Linked DNA regions of Astyanax mexicanus. The protein of the gene in region 3 interacts with the protein of the main gene of each other region in a pairwise test. Links are inferred from orthologs where the notes say so. Each region holds a gene or a part of one and is shown on either strand. Other genes may lie near its edges. The genes, in order: fam81b, neuronal migration protein doublecortin, rint1 and cwf19l2.

What was found.
Region 1: the proteins of rint1 (region 3) and fam81b interact in binary tests that used the Homo sapiens proteins (3 or more experiments, as listed by UniProt). The two-hybrid records come from large-scale screens. The link is inferred for Astyanax mexicanus from reciprocal best matches to the Homo sapiens genes RINT1 and FAM81B.
Region 2: the proteins of rint1 (region 3) and neuronal migration protein doublecortin interact in binary tests that used the Homo sapiens proteins (3 or more experiments, as listed by UniProt). The two-hybrid records come from large-scale screens. The link is inferred for Astyanax mexicanus from reciprocal best matches to the Homo sapiens genes RINT1 and DCX.
Region 4: the proteins of rint1 (region 3) and cwf19l2 interact in binary tests that used the Homo sapiens proteins (3 or more experiments, as listed by UniProt). The two-hybrid records come from large-scale screens. The link is inferred for Astyanax mexicanus from reciprocal best matches to the Homo sapiens genes RINT1 and CWF19L2.

Annotation. Positions count from the first base shown.
Region 1 is NC_064429.1:25,519,776-25,527,443, forward strand, and holds the start of fam81b (protein FAM81B), read right to left. Parts: upstream 3,010-7,668; 5' UTR 2,963-3,009; intron 787-2,962; 5' UTR 767-786; coding exon 581-766; intron 1-580. Other genes in the region: mctp1a (multiple C2 and transmembrane domain-containing protein 1), read left to right, coding at 5,607-6,164.
Region 2 is NC_064408.1:1,766,173-1,773,590, forward strand, and holds the start of neuronal migration protein doublecortin, read left to right. Parts: upstream 1-4,399; 5' UTR 4,400-4,525; intron 4,526-7,418. UniProt on the Homo sapiens protein: Microtubule-associated protein required for initial steps of neuronal dispersion and cortex lamination during cerebral cortex development. May act by competing with the putative neuronal protein kinase DCLK1 in binding to a target protein.
Region 3 is NC_064409.1:11,969,148-11,976,357, forward strand, and holds the start of rint1 (RAD50-interacting protein 1), read right to left. Parts: upstream 3,001-7,210; 5' UTR 2,954-3,000; coding exon 2,726-2,953; intron 2,299-2,725; coding exon 2,057-2,298; intron 1,379-2,056; coding exon 1,205-1,378; intron 920-1,204; coding exon 779-919; intron 527-778; coding exon 370-526; intron 1-369. UniProt on the Homo sapiens protein: Involved in regulation of membrane traffic between the Golgi and the endoplasmic reticulum (ER); the function is proposed to depend on its association in the NRZ complex which is believed to play a role in SNARE assembly at the ER.
Region 4 is NC_064425.1:12,510,943-12,518,683, forward strand, and holds the start of cwf19l2 (CWF19-like protein 2), read right to left. Parts: upstream 3,008-7,741; 5' UTR 2,739-3,007; coding exon 2,646-2,738; intron 1,985-2,645; coding exon 1,874-1,984; intron 1,779-1,873; coding exon 1,656-1,778; intron 1,211-1,655; coding exon 1,103-1,210; intron 921-1,102; coding exon 801-920; intron 485-800; coding exon 391-484; intron 1-390. Other genes in the region: lrrc51 (leucine rich repeat containing 51), read left to right, coding at 7,286-7,346.

The DNA.
Region 1 (7,668 bases), on a different chromosome or scaffold from region 3:
GTAGAGTCCTTTTTATCTGGTAACCAAAAAAAATTGTGGTTACCAGAAAAAACCTTTAGCTTTGATTATTGCAGCATGCATTCACTGTTTCAATAAGCTTCTGCAGTGCCGCAAAATTTATTTTAATCCAGTGGTGCATTATTTTTTAACCAAGATCTTGCAGCATTAATGGTGGTAGAGTCTGACCACTGCACAAAGTCTTCTCCAGCACATCCCAAAGATTCTCAATGAGGTTAAGTTCTGTCCATCCATGTGTGAAAATAATGATCTCATGCTCCTTGATGAACCACTCTTTCACAATTCCAGCCCCATGAATCCTGGCATTGTTATCTTGGAATATGCTTGTTAATCCATTGATAGAATAGCATGATCTATATTCAGTATATTCAGGTATTCAGTCAGCTGACTTCATTCTTTCAGCACATACTGTTGCTGAACCTAGACCTGCAGACCAACTGCAGCAACAACCCCAGATCATTTACTTTTACATTTTTTTTGGCCAGGCACTGTATGATGCAAGTTAACAAGGTGGTAAGAGATCAGAAACTATTTTTCACCATTTAACTCAAGTTCCACTGACCTGAATGTCCTTGCTGAGCTGTTTGACAATGTGTGTGATGGTCTGAATGTGATTCTCTAGAAGTTTCCTTGCAGACGCCTCCATCAGCACAGATCCTTGGGTGGCATGGAGGCTGCTGACCATTTCCTCTTTGATCTGGAAGGCCTGCTGCATCAAGGAGGTCAAGGTTCGCTCTTGTGTGGTCATCTCTGAGTAAGTTTACTGACCTTTATAAAAGGATAAAATATCTTTTATTATCCTTACTTATAACCTACGGGTTAGAATGTTGGTTACATTGTAAGAACCTGAAAGAACACAGTACATTTACCAGTTTTAAACCAACACTAACAGTGTTAGATTTTGACACCCACTGGGTTAATTTAACACTAAAAGAGTTGATTCAACAATGGATAATTTATTTACAGTATACTGTTAATTCGAATTAAATATCTTCTTAAACACAGCATTTTGCAGATGTACCAAGTCTACCGAAAGTTGCGGGAATCTACCGCATATCAATAACGGCTCCCTGATGCTCGCAAGTCAGATAAAAAGAGTCTTTTTTGTTCTTTGAAATTATTGTCTCCAAACAAATAAATTTGAGACTTTATTAAGATCTATGACTATAGTGTGTTTTACCTATCTATAGCTTATGTAATGTTAGTAACATTAGGCTGGAGATTAGTTGTGGGAGAGGTACTGTACTTTTCTACAATGCAGAACATTGAGCTGCTCTTGTAATAGTCGTAGGCCACGTTCGTGAGTCTTGGAAATCACCCAAAATGAGCAACATGTTCAAAGCTGAAGAGGCACCGAACATGAGCAGTGCTTCTGTTAAAAAAAAAAAAAAACTGCTCAATTTTGTGGCTAAAGCCTGAGGACCTCCTCAAACCACATCGGCCATTGATTAGCTGCCCCTGTGTGCTGTGTCACACAAACGAGCGCTTCAGGTAAAGGGGTTAGTTCAAGTGTCAGAATGTCAGAATCAAATAAAGGAAAGGTCAGTGCTTATGCAGGGGTCAGTGTCATAACATTTAGAGCTAAACACCTTGATTGGGAAGTTTAATTAACAGCAGACAACATCAGCAGGGTCTTTCCCTACATGCTGGTATTGGAGGTGCGATTCTCGGTTTTAAAAATAAAGGTGCCAACAAGGGTTATATGGAGTGATCACACTGATGACCTTGTAATGCATGTTTTTAACAACCTTAAATTATTTGGGATGGTATGTAAAATGCAAATAAAATAAATATTCAGTGCTTAAATTTTTTACTTTGACATTTATTTCATTGCAAAAAAAATAATGAAAAAAAAATGTTGGTACAGGGCAAAAAAGTGGTATTAATAAAAAAAAAACAGCTGCAGTAGGAGCAATCTGCAAATAACTCATGACTCGAAATAAAAAGAGCAACAGATCTTGTGGACATTCATTATGCCACCATCTACAGTACATTATATCATTAAAAGCTTCAGAGTATCTGGAGAAACCCTGTGTGCAAAGGAAAAAAACAGACTGTCAATATTGGATGCTGGTGATCTTCGGGCCCTCAGGTGGTACTGCATTAAAAACAGGCATGATTCTGGAAATCACTGCAGGGGCTCAGGAATACTTCCAGAAATCACTGAATGTGAACACAGATCACCGTGCAAGACACAAATCTGTAAGTTAAAGCTATATCGTGCGAAAAGAAGACCCTGTCATGCTCAGCCCAATCTCCAGACCTGAACCCCACTGATGATGAATGGTTACAAGCCAATTAAACAAAGCTGAACTGCTTAAATTTTTGTGTCTGGCATAAGATCAACGAAAAGCATGAAATTCGTTATTAAATCAGATTATTCCAACAAATATTTCTGAAGTCTTCCTGAATCAAAACATTGATATTGTTGTTGTTTTAAAATGAATATAAACTTGTTTTCTTTGCATTATTTGACTTTTGATAGCTCTGCATCTTTATTGTAATTTTCTTCGTTTATCATTTTCTGCAAATAAATCCTGTATAAGACTTTTTATTTGGATTTAGGTAGAAACTTTAGTAGTTTATAGAATAAAGCAACAATATTCATTTTACTCAAACATATATCTATAAATAGCAAAATCAGAAAAACTTTGAAATGGTCCACTATTTGTTTCGGCGCTTTATGTATGTAAATATAAGTTTTATAAAGGGTTCATATAGGTATAGAAAACTTAATACAGCTTAATTACCTTAATGTTGCATATTAATCAAACAGCCTTTCCTGGAAAGAAAATTTTGTATCTTGAGCGAAATGCTGGTCTGATGAGAAGAAGGCCAATAAAAGCAACAGGCTTTAGGTGAAAACAAGATTTTTCATTGTCAGCCAATAAACAGAAGCTCATTTAAATGCCTAAAATGTTTTAGATTCTGATCCAGTACTCACTTCAAGATCAGCCTCCTGTCATCTGCTGGCTGAATTGTAAGTCTGTTGTTTGGATCGATCTCTTAGATACAGCACTAAGTGCTCTGGAGGGGCGTGTCTGTGGGCTTGACAACTGGACAATGTTTTACACATTTCCATCTGAACCGTGGAATTTAATTTGAGCTTACTGCTTCGTACACTTACAGTAAATCACCTTCCAATCAGCCTGAGGGCCGGATTCCCAGACCCAGATGAAGATTCTAGTCTAGACTAGAGAGGATGCCCAGTAATAATTCTCTTTTGTCACTGCAGCTTAGTGTAAAACTAGGCCTAATTTGTGTTTGGGGAAAGTAGACCTTAAAGTGTGAGAGGGAAAGAGTTTATTAGATTAGGCTAGTTGGTACTAGTGGATTCTAACACAGAATAAAAAGCATTTCTGATAAATATTAGAATGTGAGAATGTCTTAATGCTAAAGTAGATGTTTAAGCTTGTCTATTGGGAGAAATCAGATATCCTTTTTTTTTTAAACTTGAACTTTTCCCCTTAACACTACAAAATAAAATGTGCTTAATTTAGAGATTTATGAAAACACTCATGGAAAAATAACAAAATAATGTAACTTACAATAGTTAAGGAAAAGGGGAGAAATTGTTGATATACCATATACACGGTATTTGTTGTAAGGGCCTATTTAACACAGCAAAACATTAAATGTAGCCTGCACATAAGTAAAATACAGTCTTTTATACACATACAAATCAAGTAAAACCAATGTCTTTGTGTCCTGATAAACTTAAGTATGAATAATCCTATTGTTTACCAGCACTTTTCTCCCAACAGAGACATTGTGTGTCACCACATTACCTATTAAACTACACCAGCTTTGTCCATAAGTGGCAAAAGGCTTTCTAGTCCTAAGTGCAAATGTCATCATTTCCGAACATTATAGCACTTTACCCCAAAAGGGACTTATTTTTCTCTGTTTAATTTACTGGACCCAGGATTTCTGGTCTGATCATAATCACTGACGCAAGTCTCTCAGAGACTTGTTTTACCGTTTGAGTGGATTGCCCTGGATTTGACTCTTCAGTTGGATCAATTGAGTGGTCATTTAGTGTTAATCCCACACCAAGAGGTACAACTTTGAAATCAATTCAGTCTAAAGCCTTGACAGTACTTGTAAACATATCAGTTATAGCCGCATGTGTGTATCGTGTGTATCTGTATGTAGTAATAATAATATGTAAAAAACAAACAAACAAAAAAAAACAAACATGTGCACAGTACCAGTCAAAAGTTTGGACACACCTTAAACAACATAAATCATTTAGTAAACAAAAACGATGTTCTGTTTTGCACATCTTTAATGGATTATGAGGGATAGAGTCACCTGGACTGGCTTTCAGTTAACAGCTGCTGAATTTCTTGTCCTCTTAATGTGTTTGCGAGTGCATCAGCTGTAAAGTTGTGTAGAGGTAGAGTTGGTATACATTGAATAGCCCTATTTGAGTAATGTTCTAATCCAGATTATGGCAAGAACTTCTCATCTGAATATAGATTACTTTAAGAAATGGACGTGAAGTGCATGTTACTATATATTTTGTTTCCATAAACAATATAAGAAACAATAAGGAAACAAAATATTCCAGGAAATTTTCCAAACATAGTGACATACAGTTCATACAGGGTGTTACAACATTTCATGTTTTCTCAATTTATGGATAAAGAAAACAGGGCCTTTTCCAAATATGCATACTCCTAGTGATTGCTGAAATAGAGCAAAACTTCACTAGCTGTTTAACTTTTATCCTACCTAATCCCCCGAGACCAAGACCACACACTGCCAATCTATGCACATGACCAAGACTCTCGAACACCAGGACTGTCAGTTGGCATATGACTCTTCTAAATACAGATCAAATGCACATGATATTTCATATATCCTCTGTTTCTGAGAAACACATAAACAACATCTGGTGTGTTTGACACACATACACACACAAACACACTTCTCTTATAACTAACAACAATAATCAACAACATTCCTTGAAAGAATTTTCATCCTGTAATCATGAATGGCATTGGCTGTCCAGAAGAGGGAGCCTCACTGTGCTTTTATTGTGCCCTTAAACTTTAAGTCTTGTGGTCAATAGAAGTGTGAGGTGGTCCAGCGGGGGTTGGAATGAGCAGGGTGATGATAATGGGGAGGAGGATGGAGAAGAGGAGGACTAGAAGGATGAAGAGGGGGAGTGTGTGAGTGAATGTGTGTGTGTGTGTGTGCTGGAGTTAGTGCTGGAGGCTGCTGCAGGCGTGTTTAGCTCTGGTCCACAGTGTGATTGTGTGTGTGTGTGTGTGTGTGTGAGAGAGAGAGAATCTGGAGAGTCCTGCCTGTCTGTCTATCTCTATCTATCTGTCAGTGGGAGGAGGATATTAGGGGGGTGTGGTAGTTAATAGAAGCTGAAAGACCTTGTAGGACCTTGGTTGGTTTATTATTAGTGAGTTTTTTATTATTTTTTTAGGACTGGGATATAGACTCCATCCTTTCTCACTCTCTCTCACTCTCTTACACACACTGTGAGTGAGTGTGTGTGTGTGGCAGTGTGTGAGTGTGTGTGTGTCACTCTCCTCAGCCGCAGCAGACTGGCGGGTTGCTGCTCGGGCAGGATGGATGAGAAACCCCGGGATGAGAGCAGCAGCAGCGGCAGCGCTAAAGGACACGACACGCCGTCCTACCAGCGGAGGATGTGGAGGAATTTCCAGGAGAAAACTAAGCCGTTTTTGAGCCCCAAGCTGGGCTCGGAGAGGCGCGGGGTGGACGGTGGAGGGGCTGGAGGAGGAGGAGGTGGTGGTGGAGGAGGCAGTAAGAAGGAGACAGGTCTGTGGATGTTCAAGCGGAAAAAGAAACAGGCGCTGGACCGGGTCTTCTCGTCCTCCCAGCCCAACCTCAGCGCCTCTCCCTCGCCGTCTCTGACCGCTAAAGCCGAGCTCAGCCCCGCCGCGTCCGGAACGCCCGGAGCCGCCGGAGGAGGAGCAGGAAGAGCCGCGGTTACCAAGCCCCAGCTGCCCGTCTCGGCTCACGGCAGTCCGCAGCTCACCGTAGCCCACCTCGCTCTGTCCCAGCAGCAGAAGAGCTCGTCCCTGGGCTCGGCGTGCTTCGAGAAGCTGGTGGTGGAGTCCGCAGCCTCCAGTGAGGATGAGCTGGCCAAGAACGCCAGTGACTCGGTAAGAGAGAGAGAGTGTGTGTGTGTTTGTGAGAGAGCGTGTGTGTGGGGTGAAGGGGTCCCACTATGACTTTAGTTGAAGGTTGTCTTGTTCCTGTTGGATTTTAGGCTGGTTTCGAGAAAGTTAACTACCCATTTTTACAGTTTTAAACACTTTAGCACACACTTCAGTTATATTTCTACAATTGCACATATCGATAATTCCTGTAAAGTATAACCTACCTGGTTTATGTTGCCTGTTTTTTTAAAGAAAGTACTTAATGCTGGTCATTACTGTAACATGTCACTTGTGACAAACTTCAAACCTGGTTTCTAGTGTTGGGTTTTAAAAAAAGTGCTCCGAGCTTCTAGATTTGTTTTTCTAGAAATTTCAAATTTGGTTTCTGTTGCTTGTTTTTCTAGAAGGTGCTCCATGTTGGTCATTCCTGTAACATGTCACCTGTGACAAACTTCACGCACTGTTTCTATAGTGTCTGGTTTTGAAGAAAGTGCCCCATGTAGGTCATTCTTGTAATCTGTCACCTGTGACAAACTTCAAACCTGGTTTCTAGTGTTGGGTTTTAAAGAAAGTGCTCCAAGCTTCTAGATTTTTGTTCTAAAATTTTTAAACCTGGTTTCTGTGCTTGTTTTTCTAGAAAGTGCTCTGTGTTGGTCATTCCTGTAACATGTCACCTGTAAAAAAAACTTCATCCATTGTTTCTATAGTGTCTGGTTTTGAAGAAAGTGCCCCATGTTGGTCATTCTTGTAACCTGTCACCTGTGACAAACTTCAAACATGGTTTCTGTTGCTTGTTTTTCTATAAAGTGCTCCATGCTGGTCATTCCTGTAACCTGTAACAGACATCAAACCTGGATTATATAGTGTGTGGTTTTAAAGAAAGTGCTCCATGTTGGTCATTCCTTCTAGTTTTTTCTAGAAACTTTAAACCTTTGTTTTCTTTAGACCTTGTTCTTGTTTTTTTTTTATAGAAAGTGCTGCATGTTGGTCATTCCTGTAACATGTCACCTGTGACAAATTTCAAACCCGGTTTCTGTTGCTTGTTTTTTTTTTTTTTTTAGAAGGTGCTCCATGTTTGTCATTCCTGTAACATGTCACCTGTGAAAAACATGTTTTTTGTTGTTTGTTTTTCTAGAAACCTCTCCAGGTTGGTCATTAGTGTAACATTCCACCTGTGACAAATGCCACCCCTGTTTTTTTATAATGTCTGGTTTTGGAGAAAGTACTCCATGTTGGTCATTCTTGTAACATGCCGACTATGGCAAACTTAAATCCCGGATTCTATAGTGTCTGGTTTTGGAAAGTTTCTTTAGAAAAAGTTCCACACACTGGTCCTTTATGTAAGACATCACTTGTCGCACATGTAAAAACCTGGTTTCTGATTTTAGAGAAAGTTAACCAAGAAAAGTAATTGTTGCTGCCTGTGTTTTGGGAAAAGTGCCTTGCATTCTTTAAAAGCTCACTGATATGCAAATAGAGTGATTTAAATGAGCCTTATCATGTCAAG
Region 2 (7,418 bases), on a different chromosome or scaffold from region 3:
TGTGTGTGTGTGTGTGTGAGATATATGCTGGGAATGCAGCAGGAGACAGCTGAGCATGACATAGCAGCTCACACACCCTCCACTAACACAGACCTCCACCACCATAGATAGATAGATAGATAGATAGATAGATAGATAGATAGATAGATAGATAGATAGATAGATAGATAGATAGACAGACAGACAGGCAATTAGACTGATAGACAGACAGACAGATAGACGATCAGACAGACAGATATGGACACCCATATTGACAGAAAAACAGACAGCTAGATGGATATATGGGAAGACAAACAATAGATAGACATTTAGACAGATATATTGACAAACAGACAGATAGACAGAAAGGCAAATAGGTGTAAAAACAAACAGGCAGATAACAGATATATAGACAGGTAGATAAATCAGACAAAGAGATAGACAATCAGACAGACAGAAATGGACACCCATATAGACGGAGGAACAGACAGATACATATACATATATATATATATGGGAAGACAAACAATAGATAGACAGACAGATGTATGGATAGATAGACAGATAGTTGGACAAACAGACAGACAGACACAATCAGACAGATAGATAAAAAAAGGCAGACAGATAGATAGAAAGACAGACAGACAGATGCACAAACAGACAGATAGATAGGCATTCAGACAGATACATTGACAAACAGACAATCAGACAGACAGATAGACAATCAGACAGACAGTTATGGACACCCATATAGATGGAGGAACAGACAGATACATATATATATATATATATGGGAAGACAAACAATAGATAGACAGACAAATATATGGACAGATAGATAGTTGGACAAACAGACACAATCAGACAGAAAGGCAGACAGATAGATAGAAAGACAGACAGATAGATGGACAAACAGACAGATAGATATACTGTCAGACAGATAGAAGGATGGATAGATGGGCTGGCAGAAATATAGACAAATATAGACAAGCAGACAAAAAGACAGATAGATAGATAGACCGACAGACAGATAGAGGGATGAACAGATGGGCAGGCAGAAATATAGATAGACAAGCAGACAGACAGGCAAATACATGGACAAAAAGACAGACAAATTAATAAATAGACAGACAGATGTATGGACAGATAGACAGATAGTTGGACAAACAGACAGACAGACACAATCAGACAGATAGATAGGCATTCAGACAAATACATTGACAAACAGATAGACAAAAAGGCAAATAGATGTAAAAACAAACAGGCAGATAACAGATATATAGATAGACAGACAGATGGACAGAGAGACAGACAATCAGACAGACAGATAGACAATCAGACAGACAGTTATGGACACCCATATAGATGGAGGAACAGACAGATACATATATATATATATATGGGAAGACAAACAATAGATAGACAGACAAATATATGGACAGATAGATAGTTGGACAAACAGACACACAGACAAAAAGACAGATAGATAGATAGACCGACAGACAGATAGAGGGATGAACAGATGGGCAGGCAGAAATATAGATAGACAAGCAGACAGACAGGCAAATACATGGACAAAAAGACAGACAAATTAATAAATAGACAGACAGACTTATGGACACACATATACACAGAAGACAAACAGACAGTAGACCAACCACCAGCTATAAGGATGTATAGATGGACAGACTAACAGACAGACAGACAGACAGATATCTCAGCAGTAATGTGGTGGTGCTGAGTGTGCACTAGGACACGCCCTGTAGGAGGATTAGGACAGTTGTGTGGATCTTCATCCATCAGGAATGTTCCTCTGGAGTTCCTCCTTCCTTCTGCCTGCTTTAAATAGCCGCAGAGCTTCTGAATATATCTACACTGATGGACGATAGATGGACAGACAGACAGACAGACAGACAGATAGATAGACCGACAGATATATGGACCCATATAGAAAGAGGAAAAGAGAGATAGATGGATATATGGGCAGACAAACAATAGATAGACAGACAGACATATAGATATATAGACAAGCAGATAGATGGACAAAAAGACAGACAGGTAGACGTATAGACAAAAAGATAGATAGACCAACAAACAGACAGAAGGATGGATAGATACCTGGAGTTATTAAGAGTCTAAATTATCTACACACATGTTCTTTATGGATCTTTACGGAACCGTTGGTTTTTAAGTCTAGAACCAGATATTATATTAGGTTCTCTGCATGTTCCACTTTAAAATAGCTTCACACTGCAGCTCTGAACTGCTGGTGCATGTTGGGAAAAAAAATCCAATAATGAAGCTCGGAGGAGAGTAGAACTCTGCTAAAACACAGCGGTAAAAACAAAGGATCACAACTTATAACAGCTGATGTCCATTCATACAGTTTTGCTGTTATTAAGAGTTTACATTATCTCAACATAAATTAGATCATTTAGATATTTAGATAAGTTTAAAGATCCACCATATGCTCATGTTTCGCCTTTGATCTTTGAGTGGAGAACGTCACTTTCTTCTAAAAAAAGAGCTACAATGTGTTTATTAGCGTGAAAAGATCAATCACTTAATGTATAGATGTGTACTTTACTTTGAAAATGTTCACCACAAGAGCTTTGAACTTATAGACCATACACGAACGAGACTGTCAATAAAGGCGGAGCTTTGTGTTTAAACCACAAAAAAGTGTTTAGCCAATCAGAGAGAGCCTATTCTTTACCTCACAGCCAGGTGATTATTACCTGCGGAGTATCGACCAGGTGATCAGTGGGAGAACATCTGAGACACCTTTATCAACTGATGAAGATCTGAGCGTGAGTTCACTACTATCAATGATGGTATTTGTTGTAGAATGATGGTGTTAAGTTGGAAAAGGTTGGTGTTGACGTATCTGGGGAGTTGTACCCCGGATGAGAGGTGGGGGTAGCCCACCTTTCATTTTCATTTCTACAACAGTGTTCAGTTTTTTTTTGTGAAGAATGATGGGGCTTAGTAAAAAATGGTGGTGTTTAGAGGAGAATGAAAGTGTTTGGTGTAGTTTATGATGGAGTTTAATGGAGAATGTTGGTGTTTAGTGAAGAATTATGGTGCCTAGTGGAGAATGATGGTGTTGAGCGGAGAATGGTGTTTGTTTAGTGGAGAATGATGGTGTTTAGTAGATAATGTTGGTGTTTGATTGGAGAATGTTGATGTTTAGTGGGGAATGATGTGTTTGGTGTGAAACGATGGTGTTTGGTGTAGAATAATGATGTTTAATGGAGAATGTTGTTGTTTAGAGGAGAATGATGGTGTTTGGTGTAGAATGATGGTGTTTAGTGGGGAATGATGGTGTTTAGTGGACAATGGCAGTGTTTAGTGGGGAATAAGCGTCTTTGAGTTTCCTGAAAAGCGCTATAAAAATACAATAAAATGTAATAATGTAATGATGTTGTTTAGTGGACAATGATGGTGTTTATTGGTAAAGATTTATGGAGTTTAGAGGATAATGTTGGTGTTTGGTGGAGAATGAAGGTGTTTAGTGCAGACTTATGGTGTTTGGATAGCACAACTGATCTTCTACCAAACCACCAATGAACCACTATTGCTTCACCACTGATTCACTAATGATCCTCTACTGCTTCATTACCGATTCACTATTGATCCTTTACTGATCTTTTATTGATTATTTGCTGACTGTCTAGTGATTCACTACCAATCCACTACAAATACATACAAGTGTCACTACTGTTCTACTACTGATTCACAAGTGATTCACTATGAATTCACTAATGAACACATGAACACCAACAATTTACCTCTTACCTTCTTCACTCTTTCGCGTTCTATCTCTCTTTATCTCTCACTGTCTCTCTCTTAATTTCTTTCTTTCTTTCTCTTACTATCCCTTTCTGTCTCACTCTCACTATCTCTTTCTCTCTTTGTATCACTATATCTCTCTCACTATTTCTCTCTCTCACTATCTCTCTCTCTCTCACTATTTCACTTTCTCTCTTTCTTTTTCTCTCTGTCCAGTCTATCTCTCTCTACTCAATCTCTCTGTTTCTCTGATGTCCTTATTGATAATAGATAGAAAAAAGTGAAAGAGAGAGAGAGAGAGACAGAGAGAGAGAGAGTGAGAGAGAGAGAGACAGAGTGAGAGAGACAGAGTGAGAGAGAGAGTGATAGAGAGAGAGAGATAGACAGAGAGGGGGGGTAGAGTCTGGTTTGAACACTGAATGGAAAATCTGCCCCCCCCCCCCTCTAAACTGTACACCTCAGTGTGGGTGACGTCATGCATGAACCTCGTAAACTCGGTTTGTCTACTCACTGACTGACCGTGTATGTGTGTGTGTGTGTGTGTGTGTGTGTGTGTGTGTGTGTGTGTGTGTGTGTGTGTGTGTGTGATCGGGCGGCGCTAGGACCACGCGGCTGTAACCGGCAGGCAGCACCGGCAGACAAAGGCACGGAGAGCAGCTCGCGCTCCTGCAGCATCCACACCCACCCTCACACACTCACACACACTCAGTCCACACACACACCCTCACACACACTCCGCGTGCACCAGCGCTGGGGTAAGTACCGCACCCACCCGGGGCACTTTACACTGGTTACAGTTACCTTACAGTTATACCGCACGTGCTGGAGTCTCAGAGTGAGTGTGTGTGTGTGGGAGTGTGTGGGAGAGAGAGAGTGTGTGGAGTGTTACCTGCTGTAGGTGCGTAACGGCTTTGATGCGGCGCGAGACACTCGGTGCGTGAGCAGGTGGGAGCAGTTCCAGCTAGAGATTGAAAAAAAAAAAAAAAACCTGTCGGTTAGTCGATTATTCGAGTATTCAGTAAATTGTCTATTAATCTTTTTTTTACATAAAAGTTATGAATTGTGCTGGTTTTATTGATGGCTAATATGTCTGTAACGTTAAAGTTTCCTTTTTAATCTGTTATAGTGTTTTATACCGCAAAGATCCGATTCGACTGTTATTAAATGACAGATTGCGTTTAAATCGTTAGTCATTAGATGTTAATCGCTACCGTCTCTTTTTTCCCTTTTTTGATGCATGGGGTGTGCGCGAGCGTGCACGCCTGTGTGTGTGCGCGCGCGCGCGTGCCAGCCCCTGCCTTAGAAATTGCTGTAGTGCAGCTCGCGCTGCCGCTAATGCTTTCTGTACAATGGAACGGTCAGCGCGTTTAGGGAATAACGGTCATAACGGTCAATTTTACGGTCTTTAACCCTCAGTAGCGGTCAATTCCGTAATTTTTTATCATAAAGTGTTTTATTTACTCAACTCTCACATATCAGTGTCAGTTTAGAGCTATATTTTCTTAAAAATGAGTATTTGGGTAAAATCTGCTAAAAGTGGGGTAACTAATACTGCTACTGATTTTTTTATATATAGGATTAGGGCCCCCTGGTTGAAGAAAACTGCTGTTATATACTTATAATGGGTACTTGATTTTTGGTACCCAATTGAACCCCAGTTTGATGGATATTTGATCCAATGGTTTGGAGGTTTGGAGATCACAAGCCATCAAACCAAACTGAACTGCTTGAATTTTTGCACCAGGAGTAAAGCAGCATAAAGTTATCCAAAAGCAGTGTGTAAGACTGGTGAAGGAGAACATGATGCCAAGATGCATGAAAAAACTATGATTAAAAACCAGGGTTATTCCACCAAATATTGATTTCTGAACTCTCAAAACTTTATGAATATGAACTTGTTTTCTTTGCATTATTTGGGGTACAGCAATGTTCATTTTACTCAAATATATACAAATATAAAATCAGAGAAATGGATTCAGAAACTGAAATGGTCTCTTTATTTTTTCCAGAACTGTATGGTGGTTAATAAATATATATATTCATGAATTTTAAGGTATAGAGGAGTGTTTGGTTGTTGGGGTATATATTTTCGCCTTATATATATATGAACATGTTGTGGCAGGTGTATATTTATTTGGACTTTTTGGTACCCAATTAAACCCAAATTTGATGGATATATGAACCAATGGTTTGATAGTTGGTGGAATGTTTAAGGTATATATTGTGCATGGGGCTTTGGGTAGGTATATTGTATATTGTAAGTACTTAGGCTTTTCAATGGCCCAATGGATGAATGGTTGTGAGGTGGCTGGTGTAGTTATTTAGGCTTTGTGGGACCTACAACAACCCCAATTTGAAGGATACATGGTTGGATACATGGTTTCTTGGGTGGTTGAGGTATACATGTATACCCTCCCTTCCATGCTTTATTATTTGATGTATGCATGAACATTTGGTTATTTGGGTTGGTTGTTTGGACATAATCATACCTTTATACGTTTCAAATCCACCCATATTTGATGTATAGATGAATATTTGGCTGTAGCTGGATGGTTAAGGTTTATACTTGGGTATATATTGTTTGGGGGTCCAAGTCCACCTTGATTTGATGTATATATAGATTGATTTGTGTTTGTGGGTAGTTGTTGTGTAAGTATTTTTTTAATTTAGACTTTTAGTTCATATTCATATTCTGCAACCAGGGTGGTGGCACGAGCTTAGGCACATGTGGTTTAGCATTATTGCTATATTATACCCAGCAGCCGGGGTACAACACTTGTTCTAGATGTTAGAACAGCTCAGCATTTGGGCCAGAATTAAGGCAATGCAACTCAGGATTGGCATGTGGTATTTGGCCAAGAAATAGCCATAAAAAGCATTTTTGCTATCAGGGTTTAAACGAGTAAAAGCCATTTAAATCTGATCTAAACCTTTAGCCAACTAGCTTCCATCTTCTTTGTTTGTAGTGATGTCAAAAATGAGAAACCTGGACTTGTAAAGACTAGAATTGCATCATCTTTAGGTTTTGTCCAGGTGGTTATGGGGTTACGTTTCGTAAATGCAGCTTTTCATACAAAAAAAATCTTTTGTTTGCAGAGGTTAAAGTAAAACTCTGATGTGTTTCAGATGTATGCTACGCTGAGTTAGCATGGACAATACAGTTTCCTGAGCTTAGCGCAGATCAGAGGACCTGGTGACTCAATACAGAAATATAATAGAGTTTTAATTCAATGGACAGATTCTTTTCTTTTGAAGTACGGGTTGGGTGGAGCACCGTGGTGTTTAGACTTTCAGAAGATACAGAAGATCACAAGATCATAGGAACATCACACGCCCCCTAAAACACACTGGTGTATGTGCGTGTTTTTATAATATGTAGTTTTTTAGTATTTTATTGTATGATAATACATTTTATCATAATATGTAATAATATATGTTTCTGAGTATGTTTATATATGGTATTGATAAGCATTTGTATTGTATTGCTATGCATTAGCTACGTGGCTGATAGGGTGTTACTTAGCAGTTTCTGTGATTCTGTGTCTCAATGGTGGTTTCGATGGAGTTGCTAAGGAAAATCAGATGGTTCGGTATCTCATGTAGTTGCTATGCAGTTGCCAAGTGGTTGCTATGGCCTTGCTCAGCAAA
Region 3 (7,210 bases):
AAGAATAATGTTGAAATATTAAAAGCAAAAAGTAGATTTATTTACTTTTTTTATATGTAAACAGTAACCTACATTTATAACCTACTGCTTATTAATACTCTAGTACAGTTTAATAATACAGTGTCCAGATTTTGCAAGAAGTCGCTTGCGCTTCTTCTTCGGCACCCCGTAATATTAATTATTATTAAAGATTAAACCTCTGTTTTTGGTAATTACCTTTGATTGCTGGGGACTGAAGTCTTTATAAGAAATTGTGCATTGTTTTACATTGTTTACACTTCAGAAAAAAATATATATAATTTCCATTTTTTAAAAATAAGACTGGCTGTTACATAATTTGTAGGAGAATAGTGATGTGCACAATCTAACCTTGTTTAGTGAGTTGGTCTGGCGGTTCCCAGTGAAATGATACCTAAACCTCTTGCTGAGGGGCAGTAGCATGATCTGAATAGGCAGCGAGAGTGGTGGGGTCTGTGGTAAGCCTGGACGAGTGGGCAATTCCTTTTTCTCAGATATAAGATCGTCACTGGGACAGGAGTCAAGTGCAAAGATTTTTCCATTCAGTTTCATGCATATTATGTTGTGAATATTTTGTTGCCTAATTTTGTTGCATAATAAGATCCATTTATCACATGATAAAAAATACACTGTCTTATTGTCTGCCTAAAACAAAGGGCTGCATTGCTAATAAAAGAAGAACTGTGTGTGAGCTGCTGACCGTAGCACAATGGTTAGTGTAGATGTACGTTTATGTGTGTCTCTGTGACACAAAGGATACGACATCTGCAGGGAGAGGAGCTGAGACACCAGGAGCTCCAGCTGGCTGTTGAGCTCCTGTGCATTAGCTGGAGGAGAGAGGGACTGGGTCGGGGGAGAGACTATCGGCCAGTGTAGCTGTGTCAGCACCTCCTCAAAGTCACTGAGATTAAGAAAAACAAACATGACAAATTTCATCAACAATTTCTTTGAATAGCAGTCAATTTTATTTAATATTATCCCAACAATAACAGCAAACCCAAATCAATTACCATTAGCCAGCCTGCTCTCAGATTTTGGAACAGATTTTATAATTTATAACATTGACATTAAAAGGGCATGTTTAGTCCCTGACATGGGGTTTAACAAAGTAAAAACATTAAGAATATATTTGCTAACTTCAAAACTCTGAATGTAATTATAATATTATATAAAACATTGGCAATACCTTGCAAGCTTGTCTTTCAGGATCTTGTGCCAGAAGTGCAATGTTTCTCGAAGGAATGCTTGTAGATGTGAGCAGCCCGACTCTTGAAGGCCCATGTCTAGAGTGGCCATATTGCCCACAGCTCCAATTGCCTCCCAAACACTGTTAGTCATCAGGAACTGCTGAATACTGTCACTGTTCAAAACATAGAGCAGCCATGACAAATCACAAATCACAAAAAAGAGAGGTAAATGTCTAGAATGTACACTCCCTGGATATGTATGTATGCATCTCTACAGTATATATGATTGATATGATAGATGGATAAATAGATAAAAAGGATATTGGGCTGCAGAGCACACCCTCTCATTACTCCCTTCTTGGAGAAAAAAGCAAGACATTTTTTTCCTCATGCAAGCCATCTATGAATCCATCCATTCATCCATAGATCAATAAATCCATCCATTCATCCATTTACAGACGCAGCCATTCAGGCTTTTATCCATGCAAAGATCCATCTATCAGGGATATATATGTTTGAGGCTATTTCTAGAAAGTCTCTAACGGATTGCACGTAAAAATATTCAAAAGGCTCTTAGCATGAATTGGTTTTATTGCTGTGATTCAACAATTTGACTTTTCTAGGCTCTTACTAATACTTACAGGTAAGATTTTCTCATTTTTTATTGTTTCTAAATTTCCAGGTTTTCCAGAATGCATAGGAATGCTCTCTATACATACGTGGATAGGTTTTTTGATTGATGAATGGATGGATAAAAACTTACTGGGTCCACAGCCTTTTCTCTCACCACTATCTTGATCAATCATGACTGGATCAATAATTACAAGTGTTAATTTTGCTGTATTGCTCACCTAAGCTCCTCAATGCGAGCCAAGCACTGAAGGTACTTCATGTGCCTTTCCAGCGTGTCCAGCTGTCCAAGTGTTTGTCCTAGGCTGTCGGCCCAGCTCTGAGCTCCCTGCAGATGCTGCTGCAGCGTGTTGGACAGGAGCCTCTCCTTCTGGAGCAGGACCTCCAGCTTCGTCCGGGCCTCCTCTGCTGCAGACAGAGCAGCAGATACACGCAGAGGCACTGAGCTGGATACAGTCAACACCTGCAGGAATAAAAAGGTCAGCCAGTCAGCGGAGACGTTATGTCTATAAGGTTGAACTAGACATATCATGAAAACACATTGCTCACACTGCTTAGTATATAAAACCATCTGTCTAAAAAAAAATAGCACCTTTTATTAGATAGTGATTTATTTGTAAATGAAAATATTTGCACACACACACACACACAAACACACACACACACACACATGTCTAGGCAGTTTAAGATATCCAAATAAATCAAACACACAGTGGACTGTACTGTATTTCTGAATATAGTGAACTCTCTCTCTCTCTCTCACACACACACACACACACACACACACACACACACACACACACACACACACACATACACACTTTAATGCTTTTTAAACAGTTGAGGTAAGAGAGAGGTCAGTCAGTAGAGCTGATGCAGGGCTGGTTTACCTGCTCCTCCAGTAACATGTTCTCTGCTGTCAGTTTCTCCAGAAGCCCCCCAACTTTCCTCAGAGACTTCAGGTCTCCTCCAATCTCCCTCTGCAGCAGCTCCGCCACATGCTGCTCCACACAGCCCCCGACCCCCTCAGCACAGCTGGATCCGGGCTCGCTTTTATTCACACCGCTATCTTCACCATTCATACTGTTATTATCCTGCTCCACAGCGGCCGCCGCCATGTTTCTCCCTCAGCCTGCCCACGTCATCAGCAGCAAACGCTCTCGCGCGCGCCCTCTACTGGAGAGAGCGCGGGAAAGCATTTACATTATAGAATAAGAGTCCCTTTATTTTCTCAAGCATGCTACATACAGTACTAGTGCATTTCAAAAAAATTAAATATCATGCAAATTTACAAAAAATTGTGAAAATTATATAATACATAGATTTATTTTAAGCGTTTTTTTGTTCATGATTATGACTTACAGCTAATGAAAACTCAAAAATCAGTTTCTCAGAAAGTTAGACTATTATCTAAAACCAATTAGTTCTTTCGGCAGTGTGCCAAGTCCTGCTTGAAAATAAAATTTGCATCTCCATGAGTTGTCAGCAGAGGGAAGCATAAAGTGCTGTAGGGTTTATCGGGGTGATGATAATTTGCAGTTTCTGAGGCTGAAAATCTGATTAATTTATCCTGTGCAACAGGTAACTTCAGATATTCCTTTCCTAGGGCGGTCCTGATGAGAGCCAGTTTCATCATGACGTTTTTTATGGTCTTTGCGATTGCACTTGAGGATAATGTGTTCTTTAAAATGTATTCAGATTGACTGACCTTCATTTCTTAAAGTATTTGTTTTCTTTAATTAGTTGAGTAGTTCTTGCAATACTATGTTTTACTTAAATAGGGTATGTATACTACTGTATATCAACTCTACCTCTTCACAACTTTACAACTGATGGTGGTCTCAAACACATTAAAAGTGCTAGAAATTCAAGTAATTATCTCTTGATTATCTCAGCACAGCTGTCAAGAAATACTGAAAGTCATTCCAGGTGCCTGTTTCTAAAATATAAAACATATTCTGGTATGTTTAACATTTTTTGTGTTTAATGATTAATTCCATACGTTTCTTCACAGTTTGAAAGACTTCAGTATTAAGCTACAATGCAGATTTAAAAAAAAAAAATAATCAAAACCACTGAAATTAGGGTGTGTTCAAACTTTTGACTGGTGGTACTGTATGTATGTATAATTTTTACAGTTAAAAATATTTTATGTAATTTCCAGTGTTATGGTCTGTTACTCTGTTACTTCTGATAAAAAAAAATATAATAGAAAATCTGATCAAAAATATGTGATGTCATGTCCTCTGGCAGTTTTTAGATGCTTCTTGTGGAGGGTAGCACATGGAATTAAGGCACAAAAGTGACTCTGTCAGCTCTGTTAATGGTTTAAATAATTTAAAGAGTTTAAACCACTAGTAAAGGTCTTTTAAGGCTGAATACAGTTGTTACTTCAGAATAATATGAAAATTAGGCTAAAAAAGCTCAAAGCTAACATGAGATGATTTGAGATGACCTAAGGAAAAACAGATGTTAGCATGTCTAAGTAGTCTTGGGTCTTCTTCTTGAGGGAAGTGGATGGAAAGGATGATGGCTGGGGTGAGAGGGGTCAGATATAATCTTTCCAGCACGCTTTGCGACCATACTGCTATATACGCACTGAAGTGTTGGTACATCCAGTGATCCAATCTGCTGTGCTGATTATCCACAGGAGTTTGATTCATTCTTGTGAGGGAGACAACGAATGATGTGAGGATGGATGTGATGATCACTGTGTAAAAGTGGATCCTCACTGGCATGGCCTGAAGGCAGGTTTAATTACTTCAGCTGCTTTAGGAAGAACATCCACTGCTGCAGTTTCTGAATATGATGGATATAATGATGACCAGAAACTGGAGTGACTCCAGAGTGGAAACCTCAGCACCATGGGTGTCTGTGGGGGTGGGTCTAAAGTCTGGTCTACAGTCATCTCTACAGTCTTTTGTGTCTTCGGCAGCAGGTGGTTGCTGCCGCACCAGGGCACCAGCTGCTCAACTTCCTCTCTGTAGGCAGACTCATTACTGCTGGTTATGAGGCTGACCATAGTGGTGGTGTCCTCAAACGTCAGATTCTTCACAGATGAATCTTTGGAGATGCAGAGCCTGAAGAGCAGGGGGGAAAGCACAGGCTTGTAGTACTCCAATACAGAGAGTCCAGATGTCCAACGTGTTTTCCTAACCCATATGCTGCCTCCTGTTGGTCAGGAAATCCATGATCCATTGGCAGATGGGATTTGGCACTGACAGCTCGCACTGCTTGACCTGCAGATGCTCTGGCACAATGGTGTTAAAAGCTGAGCTGTCCACAAACAAAACTCTAGCGTAGATCCCTGAACTGTGGAGATGCTGTAACATGGAGTGCAATGCCAAATTTATTGCGTCATGGACAGACCTGTTTGCTCTATACACAAACTGTGGGGGGTCCAGCAGAAGATCTGAAATTGCTTTCAGGTGGTCTAGGACCCGGCATTTAAAAATCAGAACTTTTTCTTCTTTTTCTTCGTACTCTCCCTTAGCAGATAATCATCAATATTGTAGCAACATAGAATGCTGACAGGGAGAATTGATAAACAACTGGTTCAAGTTAATTTTAACACTCTGTGGCAGCTAAATTAAATTAAATAAAGTGTATTATACCAGTGTATTCAGCTTACTTCTTCTTCACAAACAGGATGTTTTCCAGGTGAAATATGCAGGCTGTACAGGTCTAGGATAATAGCATTAGCTAAAGTAACTTAGCATAACTTTTATTTGTTTTCCAAACCATCACTGCTTGTGGAAACTTCACCCTAGACCTCAGGCAGCTTGGACAGATACTATGGCTGTAATCCATAATAACAAACAATAAAAAAATAAACACTTAAAATAGATCACTCTGTGTGTAATACATCTAAATAATATATATGTTTCACATTTTAAACCAAATTACTGAAATAAACTAACTTTAATGATATAACATTTTTTTGACTGCACTAGTATATACAGTGGAGACACTGTTCAGGTAATTTTGTAATGTTTATTCTCTGACATTTTTGTATAATTTAGTTGTTAAGAAATCTGTTTCTTTGCTATAGTGTAAATAGAAACCAGGGGTCACAATGAACATTAAGAAAGCCAGTGTACTATTCAAAAAGGCCAGAGGATGCATGCATAACATATAACGTTACCTAACACCCTTCATTTAGCTCTCCACCACTAACTAGAGTTTACTAGAGTATAACATGTTTTAAAAATGTGTGTTTACCATTGCCTAATGAAATCTTTTTGGCTGGTGTTTTTACTTCTGTTTGCTGATGCTCTAGTGTATGTATTTTCTGCACACCTTTGTGTGTGTTCCTCTTTGCCATCTGTCTGCTCATTAGACTAGGTTGCTTAACACCTTTAAGGGTGCCCAGTGTCCATCTTGCAGGCCTGTGCTTGCTTTGGATGGCACGATGGACCTGTCCTGGAGGATGTTTGGCTTACAGTGAGCTTGCCAAAGTAAACCTAGGCTGGAGCAACAGCTGTAGAGCCATCCATAAGCTGTCCCACCATGCTGTTCCCTCTGTTTAATTCCACAACAGAACCAGCCCTAACATGGTGCATCATCGATCTCATTATGTAACTCGTACTCAGACTAAGGGGGTGATTTGTTGAATGGCTGTGGTGGGAACTGGGTATCTACTGAACATCCATACTGGCTCAGTAAATAGGAAACACACTGCTCAATAGCAGTACTGGTCACATTATGTCAGTATTGTGACCAGTATTTTGTCCCATTTGTGAATGTTTTGAACTGGTTGCTTAGCAGCAGCAATCATAGCAACAGTTTGCTAACCCACAACCCAGCAAACACTAGTCTTGTTAAACTAACCACTGTTTTTGGTTGAACACCATTTGTGGGGATTAAAAAAAAAACGTTTGGCAAAGTGCATGAATGTGTGCATGAATATAAGGTGCAGAACTTCTAAAAAAAAAAAAGCAATGAATAGAAAGGTGTGTTTGTTTTGTGGTTGAATTAACTAAGGACTGAAATAAAGTAACTTAAAAGTAAACATAATAAAATAAAATAAAAACAGCCTTCTTCTTCTTCATCACCTCCTGCATGGCCTCTCAGTTCTTTTATGACTAACGACTAAAAAAAGTCATGAAGTGTGCGCCTGGTATAAGCTTTTGATCTGTTTTCCCAATCCATGAACATGACCAGTGGCAATGGTACTCTTTCTGGAGGGAGCTCTCTTGTGCACCACTATGCTGATTCAAGGTTAGCACAATGTTAACAAACAACATTAGTTAACTGATTGTTATGCTGCACTACAATTAAATATTTTATTCGTGCTGTCCATCTGTTTTTTGTGCGTGCATTTTTGTTTTTTTGCACTGGAACTACAATTTTAATTTAGTTAAGACAATATTAGA
Region 4 (7,741 bases), on a different chromosome or scaffold from region 3:
GATATTTGTGGGTTTCAAGAGGGTTAACTATTAAACTATGGCTCCTGTTTTGAGATTAGAACAGGCTAACTGAACAAGCTGAGACCAGTATTCATATTAGGTCAGGTCGACCTTAAGAATGTTCACCACTCACTCGTGTTGGTGGAACGGCGGGTGATGAGGCATGTTAAGTTGAGGCATAAAGATTTGGCCAGATTGGACTGAAGTTTAGATTAGGCAAGGCAGCGATATGCTGGTTATATTTGTATTAGTCAGAAATACAAAGCCTAACTGTTTCGAGTGTCGTTTTTTGTTGATTCCAAAAATCATGTTTTATACAGAAGATATACTGACCTTTCAGCGGGGATGCTCAATATCATTTTTATGTTTTATTTGCTTTATTATGGTTACCTTTTTTAACCACAGTACCAGCAGTCTCCTCTGGAGGCAGTCCACTCCCTCCATCTTTCCAGTAAGGGTTCAGTTCCAGCCTGTGGAGACCGGCCTGATAAATGGAGGGAGACACACACAAACACACACTTTTACTACCAATATATTCATCTAAATTCACTGTTAACATTATTTAGTTAAAACAACACACTTTATACATATACAAACATTAATAGAACAAACAGGCTTAGCTCCAAACATACTATAATTACTTTTTTAAAAGACCAGAGCTAAACTACTGTATCCTGAATGGGCAGAATTACACAGTTGTAGTTGTTTTTAATAGCATATGCTTTCAGGATTACAGCTTGCAAGTGAGCATTTCCACACACTTTTGTATGTCTGTCACAAACACACACACACACACACACCTGTTCGATGGAGCGTTCTTTCTCTCGCTCCGCCTCTTTCTCTGCCTCCTTTTGTGCTCGTCGCTCGGCAACAGATGTCGTCTTCATGGCCAAAAAATCAAATGTCATCCACTCATCTCTCTGTTCAACAAACAAAAACTGTCAAAACTAGCACAGGTGCATGTGCGTGTGTTAGAGTGTGTGTATATGAGAGAGAGAGAGAGAGAGAGAGAGAGACTGAGAGAGAGTGTGAGTAAGTGAGTGAGTGAGTGAGTACTGGTATATTTGCACTGGGTGTTTGCATGCTGTTGCGTGTTTCTTACTTGGTCATTACTGGTTGAACTGGCAGTGGGTGTGGCCTGTTCTGCAACCTTCCAAGCTTTTTCCACGCCCCCTGACTGTGGCACAGCTTCCACCCATTCATCGGAGTCCTGTAACACCAAGAGAATACACACACACACTCACCAAACGATACAAAAGATACACACATGCACACACTCACCAAGCAACAAGATAAACATACACACACAAACTGACAAGTTACACACTCATACACACAGAAGATACACATACACACACACACCAAGAAGATGAGATACACAGACACACTTACACAAACACACATCAATGAGACAAGATAAACATACAAACACACCAAGGAGACAAAATAAACACACACTCACCAAAGGAGAAGACACACAGAAACACACACACACACCAAGGACACAAAATAGACACACACACAGCAAGGACACAAGATACAAATAAACACACACCAGTGAAAAAAAAAGATAACACACACACATCCATACACACCAAAGAGACAAGATACACACACACAGGCTGGGGACGGGATTAACATGTAAAGAAACAAACCGCCGAGTTGTCGGACGAGCCGTCCTCCTCCTGCTGTTTGCTTTTTTCTTTCTTCATTTTCTTTTTCTTTTCCTTCTTCTTCTTTTTGGATTTCTCCTTTTTCTTCTTCTTCAGAGAATGTTCCTGAATACAAAACACACAACAAATCTGAATGGTAAACAAGTCCGAATACAGATGATTAATTAAGACTTCAGAGGTGATTAACCACACCCACTTACCTGGCCCATCTCCTGCAGACGCTGGTCAATTTCTGGCAGCATCCAGGTGTGTTCACCTCGGGCCTTCCTCTCTGCCTCCCTCCGCTCCTCATCTTCATACTTCTTCTTTGCCTGGGGGGAAGAGAGGGACAGAGAGAACTGAAGAACATCTCATTCTTTGGTTCTGCAGGTGTATTTATGGTTCTGTTTGCTTTGTGTGCTAAATCTACTATACTTATATTAGCTTCTTTAGTCACCTGGTGAAAGATCAGCTCTAGTTGTAGTTACCTGGTGGAGGATTAGCTCTAGCTTTAGTCACCTGCTGGCGGATCAGCTCTAGCTTTAGTCACCGGATGGAGGACCAGCCCTAGTTTTAGTTACCTGGTGGAGGATCAGCTGTAGCTTTAGTCACCGGGTGAAAGATCAGCCCTAGTTTTAGTCACCTGGTGGAGAATTAGCTCTAGCTTTAGTCACTTGGTGGAGGATCAGCTCTAGCTTTAGTCACCTGGTGGAGAATTAGCTCTAGCTTTAGTTACCTGGTGGAGGATCAGTTTCAGTCACCTGCTGGAAGAGTAGCTTTAGTCACCTGGTGGAGAATCAGCTCTAGCTTTAGTCACCTAGTGGAGGACCAGCTCTAGTTTTAGTTACCTGGTGGAGGATCAGCTCTAGTTTTAGTAACCTAGTGAAGGATCAGCTCTACCTTTAGTCACTTGGTGGAGGATCAGTTCTATCTGCTGGGGGATCAGCTGTAGCTCAGTGTAAGGTGTGCTCAGGTGTGTCCAGGTGAGTTTACCTGGTGGAGAACATTCTCTCTCTGTTTCCTCTTTTCTGATTTTCTCTCCTCGATGTTCGTCTTGCTTTCAAATCGTCCTCCGTACGTCGCCATCACGCCGACGAAAACAGTCGTAAAGCGGTTTGAGATGTCGTAATGTTCAGCTTGCTGTAGTCCTCACGTCGACCGTTATGTTTTATTTTCTTTTTTAGCGGCGCTGCCGACACGTTTACACTCTAATATAAGATTCGGAAACTCTAAAGTGCCAATATGTATCAATAATTATCTATATTTCCATAAATAATTCTCTATATATTTAAAATTCTGCGTTGATATAAACAGCACACGACTCAGGTACCTATAGTTGCAACTACAATACCCAGAAGCCTCATGAACAGGTCTCAGCCAAACAAAGTGCGGAAATTTTCCGCACGAGGGAAATGGCGGAGTGTTCAAGGGAGCGATCGAGAGGTAAAATAAAAGTCTCATAATATAATAAAAGTCTAATTGTATAATAAAAGTCCTGAATTAAATAAATAAACTGTAGTTTATGGTTAAATAGAAGTCATGTTTGAAAGAAAGTTCTAATTGCAAATAAAGTCATTGCATTTTATTTATGTTATTGATGTCAAAAAGATTTTTATTTGCCTTTCTTACTGAAAAAACTTCTGTTATATTTCTGTTATACTTCATTTTGGCGAGTGACTCCTTTTATTATTTTGAACATATGATATTTATTGATTAGCAAGTAGACAACTTCTGCATTGGAGTTACATATTACATCGAGATACATACAGTACCAGTCAAAAGTTTTTTTTATTTAATTTACTTTATACACTGTAGATTAATATTAAAGACATAAAAACAATAAAGAAACACGTATGGAATTACGTATTAAACAGTAAAAAAGTTTTCTTGTCCTCCACAATCCCCTGACCTAAACCTGATCAACTGAGATGGTGATTTGGGATGAGCTGGAGCTTCACATCGTGAAGGAAAAGAAGCAACTATCGTTCAGCACCTACATGAACTCCTCCAAGACGCTGATAAAACTATTCCAGGTGACACTCCCTCACTCTACTAAAACACTGAACATTTCTGTATGTGTTCCTGTATAACTTTAATGAAATCTTCAATGTGAAATGTACAATGTAACATTAAATGAGAAACTTTTGAATGTATAAGCCAATAAAACAATAGTAAATAATAATTAAAGGTTCTAGTAATTACAACACATTAATAATAAACTACAAGTATGTACACTGCTCCGAAACACAGCTGTAAACTGTTAGAAAGAGAAGTGAAACCTGATGGTTACTGTAAGGATAAATGTCCTGCATTAACAAATACAAAACCACGTGGCAGCAGGTCATATTTTATTCATCTTTCCCTTTCTCATGTACCTGCGTTTATACTGTATATGTGGGATATCATTAGGAGATGTCAGATAACTGTGTTTAGAGACATGCAGATGTTTTTTACTAGTGGTTTAGGCTATTTAATAAAGTTTAAAAGTTTTGCGTTGGCCGGGAATCGAACCCGGGTCAACTGCTTGGAAGGCAGCTATGCTCACCACTATACCACCAACGCTGGGAAACATTTGGAGAAGAAAAGATCTACAGACCTGAAATTATTGCATTCCACACTTCTTCACTAACATACTGAATAAACAAAAACTGTGATCTGTCTCCCTCTAGCGGCGCACACAGGTACCACAGTCCCGTACAATTGCACTACATATATCTCTCAGAACCTGACAGATTTACCACAAAGCACACTTTCTCAGTTACACAGATATCTAAAGCCCAAAGTTAAACACTGGCCAATAGAAATGCCTTTCAGTTCTATTATTTTTAGACAGACTTAGTTATCTGGACAACTGACAATCCTGCTTTAGGATATATATAAGGATATCTTCTGTTTCTTAAAGCAAATTGAGAACCCATAGCAAAGACAGAATTTTCATTTTTTTAAATGCTGTGTAGTATAATAATAGTCTTGATCCCTGGGAAGGAAACTGCCCCATTAGCATTTTCACAAAAACACATCTTGAGACAGCAGGGCAGTTTATTTATTATCTTCATTTTCTTATTGAACCCGTGTATACACTGTCTATGTGAAGAGAGGTCAGATAACTGTATTAAGAGACATACAGAGTTTTTTTGTGGTTTAGGCTATTAAGATAAGTTTAAAAGTTCTGCGTTGGCCGGGAATCGAACCCGGGTCAACTGCTTGGAAGGCAGCTATGCTCACCACTATACCACCAACGCTGGATTACACCTGGAGAAGAAAAGATCCACAGACCTGAAATCACTGCATTCCACACTCCCTCACTAACCTCCTGAATAAACATACTGATCTGCCTCCCTCTAGCGGCGCACGCAGATACTACACTCACACTGCACTGCATCTGACTCAGTTTCTCAGTTACACAGATTTCTAAAGCCCATAGTTGAACACCAGCCAATAGGAATGCCCCTCAACTCTTTTGTTATAAGACAAACTTGACTTTAGGCGCAAGTAATCTGGATTATTTAAAGTCGGGCTTTAAATAATACTGGATATTCAGTACTCCTAGAACAAATTGTGAGAATTTGTGTCCTGTTAACCCAGGGCAAAGACAGAGAGCAAAAAATATATATTTTCATGGATAAGACCTAAACACTAAGCCTAGTTGTAGACTGTATTTTTCTTTCAGTTAATAAAAAAATCTTCATTTAAAATGCCATCTAGTGCTAGAATAGTCTTAATCCCTAGCAGAGAAACTGGAAATTCACAAATACTAATACTTTTAAAATAAACAAGAGGAACAACAACAAAAAAAAACCTTACAACTACTTTTATAGACTATTCTAGAATATATTTTCCTTTTAGAGGAAAATCCCCATCCAAAATGCTTTGTAGGTCTAAGGTTAGTCTGGGTAACTGTCCCTAAATGTGCTGTACTGTAGGGTGGAACCGGAGAGAAAAGAGATAGAATTTACAAACAAACAAAAACAAGCATTTAGTTTACTTTATCATAAGCCTATTTGCTTTTGCTTTTAATACATTATATAATCTAATTTAGTAATGTTTACTACGGTTATTTTAGTAAGTTGAAAAGAAAATGTAACAAATCAGCACCACGTTGCAGCAGGTCAGTTTACACATAAGGGGTATTATGAAGAGAAGTCACACAACTGTGCTTAGAGACATGCAGAGGTCTTCAATGGTGGTTTAGGCTCTGTAGTACAGTTTAAAAGTTCTGCGTTGGCCGGGAATCGAACCCGGGTCAACTGCTTGGAAGGCAGCTATGCTCACCACTATACCACCAACGCTGGAAAACATCTGGAGAAGAAAAGATCTACAGACCTAAAATCACTGTTCTGTGTCGCCCTCTTGTGGTGCACACAGATACTACACTCACCTGCACACTAACACAACCAGGCTGCACCTGTGTGACCAGCAGGTTTGAATGCAGGCGGTATGCACTGTATGTATGAAGATTTAAATCACTTTTAAATTCTTACCTTAAACCCTGAGCCCACCTTGAATTCTTCACTTTTATATAGTTGTCAAAGTGCGGGTAAAAGGGGTAAGTTGTTCAAGGCAGTGTTAAAGACATCAGACCTAAATTAGGACATTTTAATCAATCAACCTTTATTTTAACTGGAGTACATTGAGGGTGGACTTGATAAAAGAGTAGCCGAGCTAATACAGAGTAGAGATTGTCAAAGAAAAAAGACCCAGCGTTTTTATAGTATAATATATATCATACAATAAGAATTTCACTGTACTTGAAAACTTGTTTCTTACTGTGCACATGACTATAAACTATTTGACTCTTGAATCTTGAATCTAGAATAAGACACAAAACACATAAGATAAAAAAATAGGTAATACAAATGAAATGAAATCAACAACAGATGAATAAAGTAAATTAATTTAGCACAGAAAACAGTAAAAATGTAATAAACGTAAATAATTAACCATAAATTATTATTATTAAATATAATAATAATGATAATAATAATAATAATAATAATAATAATTATTATTATTATTATTATTATTATTATTATTATTATTATTATTATTATTATTATTGTTGTTATTATTATTATTATTATTATTATTATTATTATTATTATTATTGTTTTTGTTATATTAGTTTATTTCTTGTTTTTATTATAACGTTTCCTATTATTAGTTTGCTTTGATAAATTATTCTAAATTCTAAATTGTATTTTATTCAGGAACAGCATTAAGCCAATACAGAGCGGGGAAATAAGTCCAAATTCCTCCACTATAAAAAACAACATTTACCGTGATGCACCGGCGGCGGTCTCCTTGGTAACCAGCTGTTTGGTAATGTGATTGGTCTTTACAAAGCTAAAAAAGTAGCTAGGTTAGCTATCTATTGTAAAATGTTGTAAATTCAGTTTTTGTGATTATTTGATTACTTAGGAGTGAACATTTTGTGAGCATCATATTTTATAATCCAGTACAGTCCAGCTGAGGTGAAATACACCCTGTTGGCCTGTTTATTTTTTTTATTTCGGTTTGGTTATGAGTTGTACAAGTTTTACTTTAGGTTAGCATGTTAGCCTGTTGTTAGTCAGCAGAGATAACGTTACCGTTTAAATACCGGTTTAGTTTGTTTGTTAGCTAACATTGTTTGGATGTTCAAAATGAACGGAGCTCCACTGGACTTCTCTTTTAAACAACTCAGCTCGCTAGCAGGTAAGACAACTATAAAAACAAGTTAATAAATCAGTGTATTTATTTTATCACAGATTGCATATATAATATATATTATATGTATTTAAAGCCATGGAAAAATATAAGAGACGACTTAAAACTGATGAGTTTCTTTAATTTGTCCAAATTGAAAACATCTGAAATATAATCAAGAGGAAGATGGATAATCACAAGCCATCAAACCAAGCTGAACTGCTTGTATATTTGCAGCAGAAGTGGCATAAAGTTATCCAAGAGCAGTGTGTAAGACTGGTGGAGGAGAAGAAGCCAAGATTACAACCAAGGTTATTACACCAAATATTGATTTCTCAACTTGTTATCTTCGCATTATTTGAAGTCTGAAAGATCTGCACTTGTTATTTCAGCCATATCTCATT